2 linked regions of the Oryctolagus cuniculus genome follow. The protein of the gene in region 1 binds, or shares a complex with, the protein of each later gene. Links are inferred from orthologs where the notes say so. Each region holds a gene or a part of one and is shown in the gene's direction. Other genes may lie near its edges.

Region 1 (4,857 bases):
CACACACGTGTCGTGTATAGGAAGAGACGGCCAAGTCACACCCGCAGACCCGGGTTTAAAGGGACGTGTGACTTGGTTGGAAGCACACGCGTGTATTAGGTATGTTTTCATGAACACACATGCGCGCACACGCGTTTGAGTGCAAATGCATACCCAAATTTATGTAACTGTAAATGCGCACACATGGATTTCCATCTGCAGCTACATAGATGTCTCTGTGTTAAATATCGGCCAGTTTCCAGCTTCCCCTCGCCGGGGAAATACAGAAGCGTCTACCACACCACGTCTGCACCAAGATGCTCTGTAACTTCCCTGAGCTCTTTTCTGAAAAACTTCAAACTGAAACCTGAATAACGGGCCCGGTGGAGACACCGAGGCCAGAACCTGCCGTCGCCCCGCATCTCAGCCCCGGAGAACACGCGAGGGTCGGGTACAAGGGTGACATCTCCGGCCCTAGGGCAGGGGGGTGGAAGCGCCAGCGCCCCCCTCGGCGGCCGCGCGCCCCCGCCCTTGGCCCCACCCCGCTGCGGCTGCCCCCGGCGCGCCGTCCACACCCCTGAGCGCCGCTCCCGCCCGCTCGGGGATCCCCGGCGAGCAGTGCCGCCGAGGGGGAGGTGTTCGGCCGGGGCCGGGAGGGAGCCAGCAGGCGGCGTCCCCTTTAAAAGCCGCGAGCGCCGCGCCACGGCGCCGCCGCCGCCGCCGTCGCCGCCGGAGTCCTCGCCCCGCCGCGCTGCGCCCGGCTCGCGCTGCGCCCGCCGCTCCGGTTCCCACACCCCGCCGGGGATTGGCAGCCGCCGCCGGACATCAGCCGCCGCCGGCGACCCGAGCGCCCTCGAGGCGAGCGCCGCGCGGATTACTGGGCGCTGCGAGGCACCCGCGCACCGCAGACCCCTCGCGGGTTGGAGCACCCGGCCGTTGCGCGCCACAGCTCGGTGGCCTCGGCTGCCCGGGCCGCGCCGGAGCCGCGGACGGGCGCGCGGAGCGCCGGAGAGTGCGGAGCCAAGCCCGAGCGCCGCGATGCCGAGCACCTCCTGCCGGGGATCGGGGGCTCGAGACGTGCCAGCCGAGGTGTGATCGGACCCCAAGCCGGCCACAAAGGGCACTTGGCCCGAGGGCTAGGACAGCAGCGAGGGCAGAGCGCGGCCACCCGCTTCGGCGGCCCGGGACTCGGCTGGGCTCGCGGAGAATGCGCCCGAGGACGACGGGGCGCCGGAGCCGCGGCTGTTTCCACTGGCCAGCGCTGATGGGGGTGCGCTGGCGGCAGGCAGAGTGATGCGGGGGGGCAGCTCGCCGGGCATCGAGATCGCCGCTGTGCCCTTCCCCGGACCCGGCGTCGCCCAGGATGGCTGCCCCGAGCCATGGGCCGCGGCGGAGCTAGCGCTGAGCGCCCGACCCTCGCCCCCCGGAGTCCCGCAGGCGGCCCCGCGCGCGGCCACGCGTCCCGCGGGCGCTGGTGCCTGAGGACGACGACAGCAGCAGCCTTTCCTCTCTGCCTTCCCTTCCCTTCCCCGGCCCGCACTCCTCCCCCTGCTCGCTGTTGTTGTGTGTCAGCACTTGGCTGGAGACTTCTTGAACTTGCAGCCTTAACTTGCGCTGCTCCCCGCTTCGCGCCGGTGCCCGCGCCCCGGCGGAGCCGCCTCGCTGCCTCCGAGCCCCGCCGCGCTGCAGCCCTCTGCCGGGCCGAGCCCGGGACGCCGCGCCCTGCGCGAGGAGAGGGACTCGGCGGCCGGCGCCGGGAGGAGAAGCCGGAGGCCACGGGAAGGGAGCGGACGCCCGGTCCCCGCGCCAGGTCCCTGGGCCAGAGCTTTTTCCATGTGGAGGCTCTTTCAATGGACGTGTCCCCGCGGGCTTCTTAGACGGACTGCGGTCTCCTAAAGGTACGGGACGCGCGGGCCCCGGGGTGCGGGGCGGGCGCTGGGCTCGCGCGGCGGCGGCGGCGGCGGCGGACCCCCCTCCGGGGCGCGGCCGGGCAGGACGTAAACAGACCCCTCTCCGGGGCCACGTGCAGCCCAGCCCGGCGGGGGCGCCCCCTTTCCCCGCGCCCGCACGCTTCCGCCCCTCCTCCGCTCTTCCTCGATATATTATTAAGGCTGTTAACACTTAGATGATTTTTTTAAAAAATTAAAAAGTCAAAGAGCTGCCTTGGAGAGGATGGCCCCTGGGTTTCACCCGTTAGCTGCCAACCTGTACGCCGTGGCACGGCGCTGTCTTCATCAAGATTCTGGGGGAGACCCGCGCTCTCCATCAGAGCCCCGTCCCCCGTAGGAAAGCGCTGGGCGTTAGGGGTTCTCTCCGCCGGTTGCTAGAAGCGCTAGAGGGCCAGGGTCCCGCTCGCGCCGTGGGTTTCCCCGCTGGCACGTGCGCGCGTGGAGATCGGCCCTTTATGTAACGCCGGGAAGGTACCTGCGTACGCGACCGCACCGGGGGCTCGCGGGCGGGCGTGGAGCGGGGCGTCCCGACACCCAGCGGGCAGCCACCGCCAAGCGGCTTCAGAAGTCGTGGCCCTGAGTTTGCAGGGTCTGGAAGTGGTGAACTGTGGCTCAGGAAGTTCCGTGCCCCGGTTCTCAGGAAGTCACATGCGCGCGCGTTTATAGGCAAGGGAGCGCTCTGAGTTTGGCTAGGCGCGGCAGGGTGTCAGATCAAGCGGTGATCCCCCAGACTCCCTGCATGGCTGCCAGCTCTGGTGTGTGTGTGTGTGTGTGTGTGTGTGTGTGTGTGTGTGTGTGTGTATGGGAGGGGGGAGTGACAACCACTTAAGTTCAGTGGGGAGGGAGCGAGGGATAAGGCCAACCCCCAAATCAAGTATCAGACGGGCCCAGGCTGGGGTGGGAGAGAGAAAAGTGCTCTGGGTCAGGAACTTGGGGCCCTCCATTCCCCCACCCCACCCCAAACGTTAGAGCTGTGGCCGCTCTGACATAGCCAGCAAGTGCTGCAAGGCAGGAGGGCGCCCTGGAGGAGGAGGCGAGCGAGCGCAGCGGGAGCCCAGGCCGCGGGGGCGGGAAGGGAGAGGACTGGGCGGGGAACTCGGGTGACTCACGTCGGCCCTGTCCGCAGGTCGACCATGGTGGCCGGGACCCGCTGTCTTCTAGCGTTGCTGCTTCCCCAGGTCCTCCTGGGCGGCGCGGCCGGCCTCATCCCCGAGCTGGGCCGCAGGAAGTTCGCGGCGTCATCGGGCCGCCCCTCGCCCCAGCCCTCGGACGACATCCTGAGCGAGTTCGAGTTGCGGTTGCTCAGCATGTTCGGTCTGAAGCAGAGACCCACCCCTAGCAGGGACGCCGTGGTGCCCCCCTACATGCTGGACTTGTACCGCCGGCACTCCGGCCAGCCTGGCGCGCCCGCCCCGGACCACCGGCTGGAGAGGGCAGCCAGCCGCGCCAACACGGTGCGCAGCTTCCACCACGAAGGTAAGGCGAGGCGCGCGCCGCAGGGGCAGAGACGCGGGCGGGTTGCTACCCGCAACGCCGAGCACCAAGGCCGGCTGCGGGCATCCCTGGAGAGGCAGTTCAGCCAGAGCTCTGCGGATGCTGTCCCTCTTGCTTCCGTACCGACCTTTCTGAATCTGATTTTCAGGCACTGCTCGTGTGGCGGGCCAGCCAGGGATTCCCCCTTGGTCGGTCCGTACCCGTTTCCTGGCACGCAGCCAGGAGGGCGACTCCTCCTCCAGGAACCAGAGCGGAATCAAGGGATGGGGAAGACGAGGCTAAAAGGCATGCCCCTGGTCAGCTAAGCGTGCAGGAATTCCGCAGTGGGAGAAGGAGGAGGTTTGGGATTTCTTGAAGTCTGTTTGGAAGCCCTTGCTCCATAAATCTGTGTCTCCAGCTTAAGCCAGGGTTTCAAGCTAGACTGAGGCAAGGGCGGAATTCTCAGATAGTCTTGAAAAATCAAAGCCCAGGGCCCCCAAGTCTTCCTAATTTACAGTGGATCTGGGCCTGCGTTGGAAGATTTCGAATCCCTATCTAATCCCCGTGGGAGATCAATTCCACAATCAATCTTATTGTTTCCACAATGACTTTCTTGTCTCGTGCTTAAATCTGAGATAGGCTCAGAGTAGAGACAAAGCAAGCCTTCAGATAAAACCTTTTGCAGCAGCTGCCTGTCTTCCTTCACATGCATTGAAATGTGATTTTTTTTTTCTTTTATGATCCTGGATGTGGTTTTCCTAAGGTAGGATATTTCTGCTGGTTTCATCAGGAAGGCATTTAGTGGATTTGAAATGTCTTAGGGCAGCTATGGAGCTCTGTTGCACCTAACTTCTTAGCACCGTTAGTCAACTACATGCTACATTTCCATTCTTTTGTTCTTTTAAATGTGCCTTTGGCTTAATAGCTCTAAATACAGAATGCATTCCTGCGAATTCTAGAAAAGAGTGGAGTTACAGATCACAGAACAGCCACTTGCACTGACTGATGTTCCCTTTTCCTTGACGAAAACAATTTTCTCTCAGTGGGACGTTTTCAAGAACGATGGGTGATAATGAGAAGAAGTCCCAAAGGCAGGTCCCATCACACAAGCTACTTCTCATCCCAGCTGTCACAGTGAAGGGAGCTGGGAGCTGGTAGCACGTGTTCCAGCACATTTTGAAGTAAAGTGTTTTCTGAAGATCTGAGGATCAACATCTTTTTCTATCTGTTGAGAATTCAGCCACTGACAGCAGAAGTTTGTTGTTACAGGAGAAAGGTTTTCCTTCCTGTGTCTTCTGTCATGGTAACCATGAGATGACTACAGGTTCATCGCTTCCAGTTGACACAGATTAGAATAGTATTTCTGGATAAAAAGGGAATAGGAGTTAGCTGGATAGGTCTCCTCTTAACGTTCATTTTTAAGGCTAGGAAGGTATGGTGTCTTTCTCATAACTTT
Region 2 (4,058 bases), on another chromosome or scaffold:
CAGGCTACTCCACCTGGCTGCCCAAGGTTGATGAGGCCCTGATTTAACAGAACCCACAGATCTAGAGAGAGAAGCCCCCAGGTTAGTTACCGAGGATGCTCATTTAAAAATGGGGTTGCCCAGGCTCCACCACCCCCAGGACTTCAAATTCAGGGGCTCTGGAAGGAGCCTGGCGTCTGTATCCCCCAGAAGCCCCTCCCCGGCTTTCTCATGGTCTCCGGCCTCACGGCCTTCGCCACCGTCCTGCTCAGCTGCCAGTCCCCAGGCAAGCCACGCCCTGGCGCAGGTGCAGGTCTCTCCCCGAGCCCCAGCTGCCCCTGCCAGGCCTGGTTCTGCTTTTCCAAAGGGGGCAGTGACAGTGGGGGATCCCCGCTGCAGACGGCTCACTGGCGTGGGCTTGGGGCCCCCCACCCTGCACACCGCAGCCAGCGATGGGGTGGGCACTGACATCTCATCTGCACAGGGGTGACAGGAGACCCTAGCGCAGCTAAGAGCGTCTAGGGGTGCACTTAGCACCGGGCACAGCACAAGGGTCCGTCAGAACGGCAGCCGCTCTTACTAAAATGAGTCCTTCCAGACGCCTGAAAACAGCGCCTTCTTGGAAAAGGTGCTCACAGCCCCTCTTCTTTCCCACTCCCCTTCCCTGTGGCCCGACGCGGCCCCGGGGCCCATTGCGGCTGTCTGTGAACAGGACCGCCTCGCTCGGTGGGTCTCCACTGAGCACTTCACCCTGGATTTAGGAGCTCCGTGTGCACACTCAGAAGTCCACGGAGTTGGGATCCCTGCCCACCACTGCCTGCCTCTCAGAAGCTCCCCAGACCCCCACAGCGTGGGGCCTCCGTGACCCAGGAGCGGGTCTCTGCCCCAGCCTGGGCTGCAGCCTGGGGGAGGAAGCCGGAGGGACCCCGCCATGCTGCTGCTGTCAGCCGCTCTTGGAGCTCGGTGAGCGTGGATGGCTTGTGCAGGGCACAGCTCTGCTCTGCGCGCTGAAGCCGGCGTTTGGAGGATGTCACTCCTGCAGACAGCTGGGGAGTTGTCCACAAGCTGGTTGGCTTGGCCAGTGTAGACAGATGGCCCAAGGTCAGCACAAGCCCATACTGCGCTGTGTGGGGCTGGGCTGTTCTCCGCAGTCCATAAACTGTGCAACAGCCAAATCCCCACTTTGGGGACCCCCACGTTCAGCCTCAGGCGTTCCTCCCTGCGTAGAAGGAAAAGCCCTTTGCGTCCCTTTTCCAAGTGACTGCGTCTCCTGTGGGGAGGGGGGCTGCCAGTTCCTAGCAGGCACACCCACCAGGGCCTGGAGCCCCGGACAGGCCGTATCCAGGGGGCAGTCTTGAGGCAGCCATGCTGTGGGCCTGGCCTTTGGGGAGGACAGGGCCGTGGGGCTGAAGGCTGTCCACCTCTCCAGGCCTGAGCCAAGTCCGCCCCTGGAGAGGGGGCACGGGGTCAGCCCGTATCCAGGCTGCTGCCCCCTCTCAGAGGCAGGGGGGCAGCTGCAGCACCGCGGGCCCCCGGGGGCCTGGTGTGTGCCCGGCTGCCGACCTGCCAGTCTGCAGAAGCAGCTCCAGCTGGGCCAGCCTCGGCGCCGGGCGCTTGTACTGCAGACACCGGCACTTGGCGAACCGGTGCCTAGAGGGGCGCACACTTGGCGAACCGGTGCCTAGAGGGGCGCTGGCACTCGGGGTGGGCTCTGAGACCTGTTTGCGGGCAGGGAAGCGACGTGTTGCGCCTCCCGCGCCCTTCTCATCCGGGGTGCCGCAGCCCGGTCCACAGGCCTCCCTGCGGGGGCGGGGGCGGGGTCGTGTCGCGAGGACCCGGGGCCTTGTTGGCTGCACCCACAGCTCGCGCCTCCCGCAGCCCCGGGCGCAGCGCGGCTGCCTGTGTGGCCTGCAGCGAGCGAGCGAGCGAGCGAGGGCTGCCACGGGCGCTCCGGAGGCATCCACGTTGGATGAAACCCCAGATCTTTCCCAGAGAACCAGACGAGCAGGCTTGGGCGCGAGGGCGGGGGGCCGAGGCGCGCTGGGTTTGACCAAAAGCACTTGCTGGGCCTCTGCGTCTCGTCCAGAAGATGTTTCTCGGGGGACGCGGCCAGCTCCTGGAGGATCACCAGGGCGCTAGAGCCGCCGGCCTGGGCAGCAGCCGCTCTTCTCGCGGAAAATAAGCGACTGGCCGAGCCGCGGGCCGCCACACCCCGAGGCCCTCCGGGCAGCGGCCGCCGGGAGGTAGCGGGGTTCGGGGGCGCATCCCGCGCGGGGTCGGGATGGAGGGCCCAGGGGCACGGCGGGCGGGGTCCGGGCGTCCCACGGACCGACGCCTCGGGAGCGGGGTGTTCAGCCGCGCGCAGGGAGGGGACTGGGCGGGGGCGGCGGCGGCGGCCACTTGGAGTGGACGTTGCGGGGGCGAGCGCGGAAGGGCGCGGGGACGGTGCGAGGCTGGGGGTCCCGGGCTCCCCAGGTCCCCGCGCCGGCGCCGCCGCTGCCCGCCCCGCGCCGCGGGGCCGCGCTGAAACCCGAGCGCGCGGGGGCGGGGCGCGCGGCCGCGTCCGCATTGGCGGGGCCCGGTGCTGGCTGCGGGGGAGGGGCGCGCGGGGCGGGGGGCGCGCCGGGCGCCGCGGCCTGGGGGAACCGAGCCTCCCGGCTCGCTGCTCCCGCCGGCGGAGCGAGGCGGCCCCTGCTCCGCAGCGCGATTGATCCGTGCCTTTCTTCTCAGCTCTTCCTCCAGGGAGAGGCTCGTGGCAGCAGGCCGAGCTGGATGGATGGGCATGGGGAGAGGGGCAGGACGCTCAGCCCTGGGATTCTGGCCGACGCTCGCCTTCCTGCTCTGCAGCTTCCCGGCAGGTAAGCGGCCGCCCCCGGCCCCCGGAGCGCCCACCGCCCCGGGCCTTTGTTCGCGCCGGGCCGCAGCCCGACGGCGGGGAGCGGGCGGGAGGTCGCCGCGCCCCGGCCCCGGCCCCGCGCTCCGCTGGGGCTGCGGACCTGCCGTGCGCCCAGGGGCGGGGCCCCGCCGGACCCGCGCGCGCCCACGCGGGGAGGCCCACGGCCGGCGGGCGCGCGGGCGCTGTTGGCTAACCCCGCGCGTGTGCGTGGTGTCAGAGAGGGGGAGACTTTGGGCTTTCAAGCTGAGAAAGCCCATCTGTTTCCAATGAATCCGCCATAGTGTTTCACAGCGTTTTTGGCAGATCGCTGCTTTCGAATTCCTCGGAGCCCGGACCTCTTGTTTTGGTTGGGGGCAGGGAGCCGGGCTCCACAGAGGAGCGTTTGTTCCTGCCCGGCCCTCCCGGCCCTCGCTTTCTTCCCCCCTTCGTGGAGAGGGGAGTGGAGCACGAACCTTAAATCCCCGGGCTGTTTTCTTTACAAAGTTCCGTAAAACTTTATTTCATTTTTGCCATATGCTGCTCACAGCCTGGAAACTCCAGGGAAGCCCCCGCTGCCCATTCTCTCCGACTGGCAACACAAATAAACAGTGTCCCGGGCCTCGGGCCGCCGCGCTGGGCTGCGGGGTTCCGAGATGTCTTTTTGCAAAAAGAAAAAAAGCCTGTTTCCCCGCCGCCGCCGCGGGCGTGAGCTGCATCCCCCAGCGCGCCACGGAGCTTTTTTGCAAGAAAGGACTTGAATCGGACTCGGATTGAGTTGTTTTGCTTTGCTCCCGGGCCAGCAGGGTTTCAAGGAACTGGCAGACCTGAGCAGCCCAGCTCCTGACCACGTAGGCAGGGCGCAGCCCCGGGGACACCTCCAGTTTGCCCTGCTCGGGGCACAGCCCCTGCACCCCGATCCCGCTGGAGAAACCCCAGCCCAGGACACCGTGGGGTGGGCGGCGGCAGGTCCTGGACGGTGACAGCCTGCCCTGCTGGGGTGGGCGGCCGGGTGCCCAGCTCGCCCCCGTTGCCTTTAAAAGGAGACAGGCCGGGAGGCTGGCCTGGTTCCCTCCCCAGAATTAGAGGAATATAAGAGAACCCGCCGCGTTCGTCCGAACACAGCCCCCTCCCGGGCAGGCGGGAGCCCGCGCCGCGGCGTGCACCTGGGCCGGCTTGGATGGGGAAGCAGCCGGCGCAGGGTTCG

What was found. Proteins that work in one complex are often made in the same cells at the same time.
Region 2: the proteins of BMP2 (region 1) and RGMA are in contact, whole or in part, in a crystal structure (PDB 4UHY), measured with the Homo sapiens proteins. The link is inferred for Oryctolagus cuniculus from reciprocal best matches to the Homo sapiens genes BMP2 and RGMA. Residues at the interface, in NP_001191.1 of Homo sapiens: Val308, Gly309, Trp310, Asp312, Trp313, Met371, Tyr373, Leu374, Asp375, Glu376, Lys383, Tyr385, Met388; in NP_064596.2 of Homo sapiens: Arg91, Arg94, Gly95, Leu97, His100, Ser101, His104.

What each region holds. Positions count from the first base shown.
Region 1 is NC_091442.1:31,667,683-31,672,539, forward strand, and holds the start of BMP2 (bone morphogenetic protein 2 precursor), read left to right. Parts: upstream 1-1,815; 5' UTR 1,816-1,877; intron 1,878-3,054; 5' UTR 3,055-3,061; coding exon 3,062-3,404; intron 3,405-4,857. UniProt on the Homo sapiens protein: Growth factor of the TGF-beta superfamily that plays essential roles in many developmental processes, including cardiogenesis, neurogenesis, and osteogenesis. Induces cartilage and bone formation.
Region 2 is NC_091443.1:3,419,132-3,423,189, reverse strand, and holds part of RGMA (repulsive guidance molecule A), read left to right. Parts: intron 1-2,083; exon of another isoform or gene 2,084-2,222; intron 2,223-2,396; exon of another isoform or gene 2,397-2,424; intron 2,425-2,709; coding exon 2,710-2,837; intron 2,838-4,058.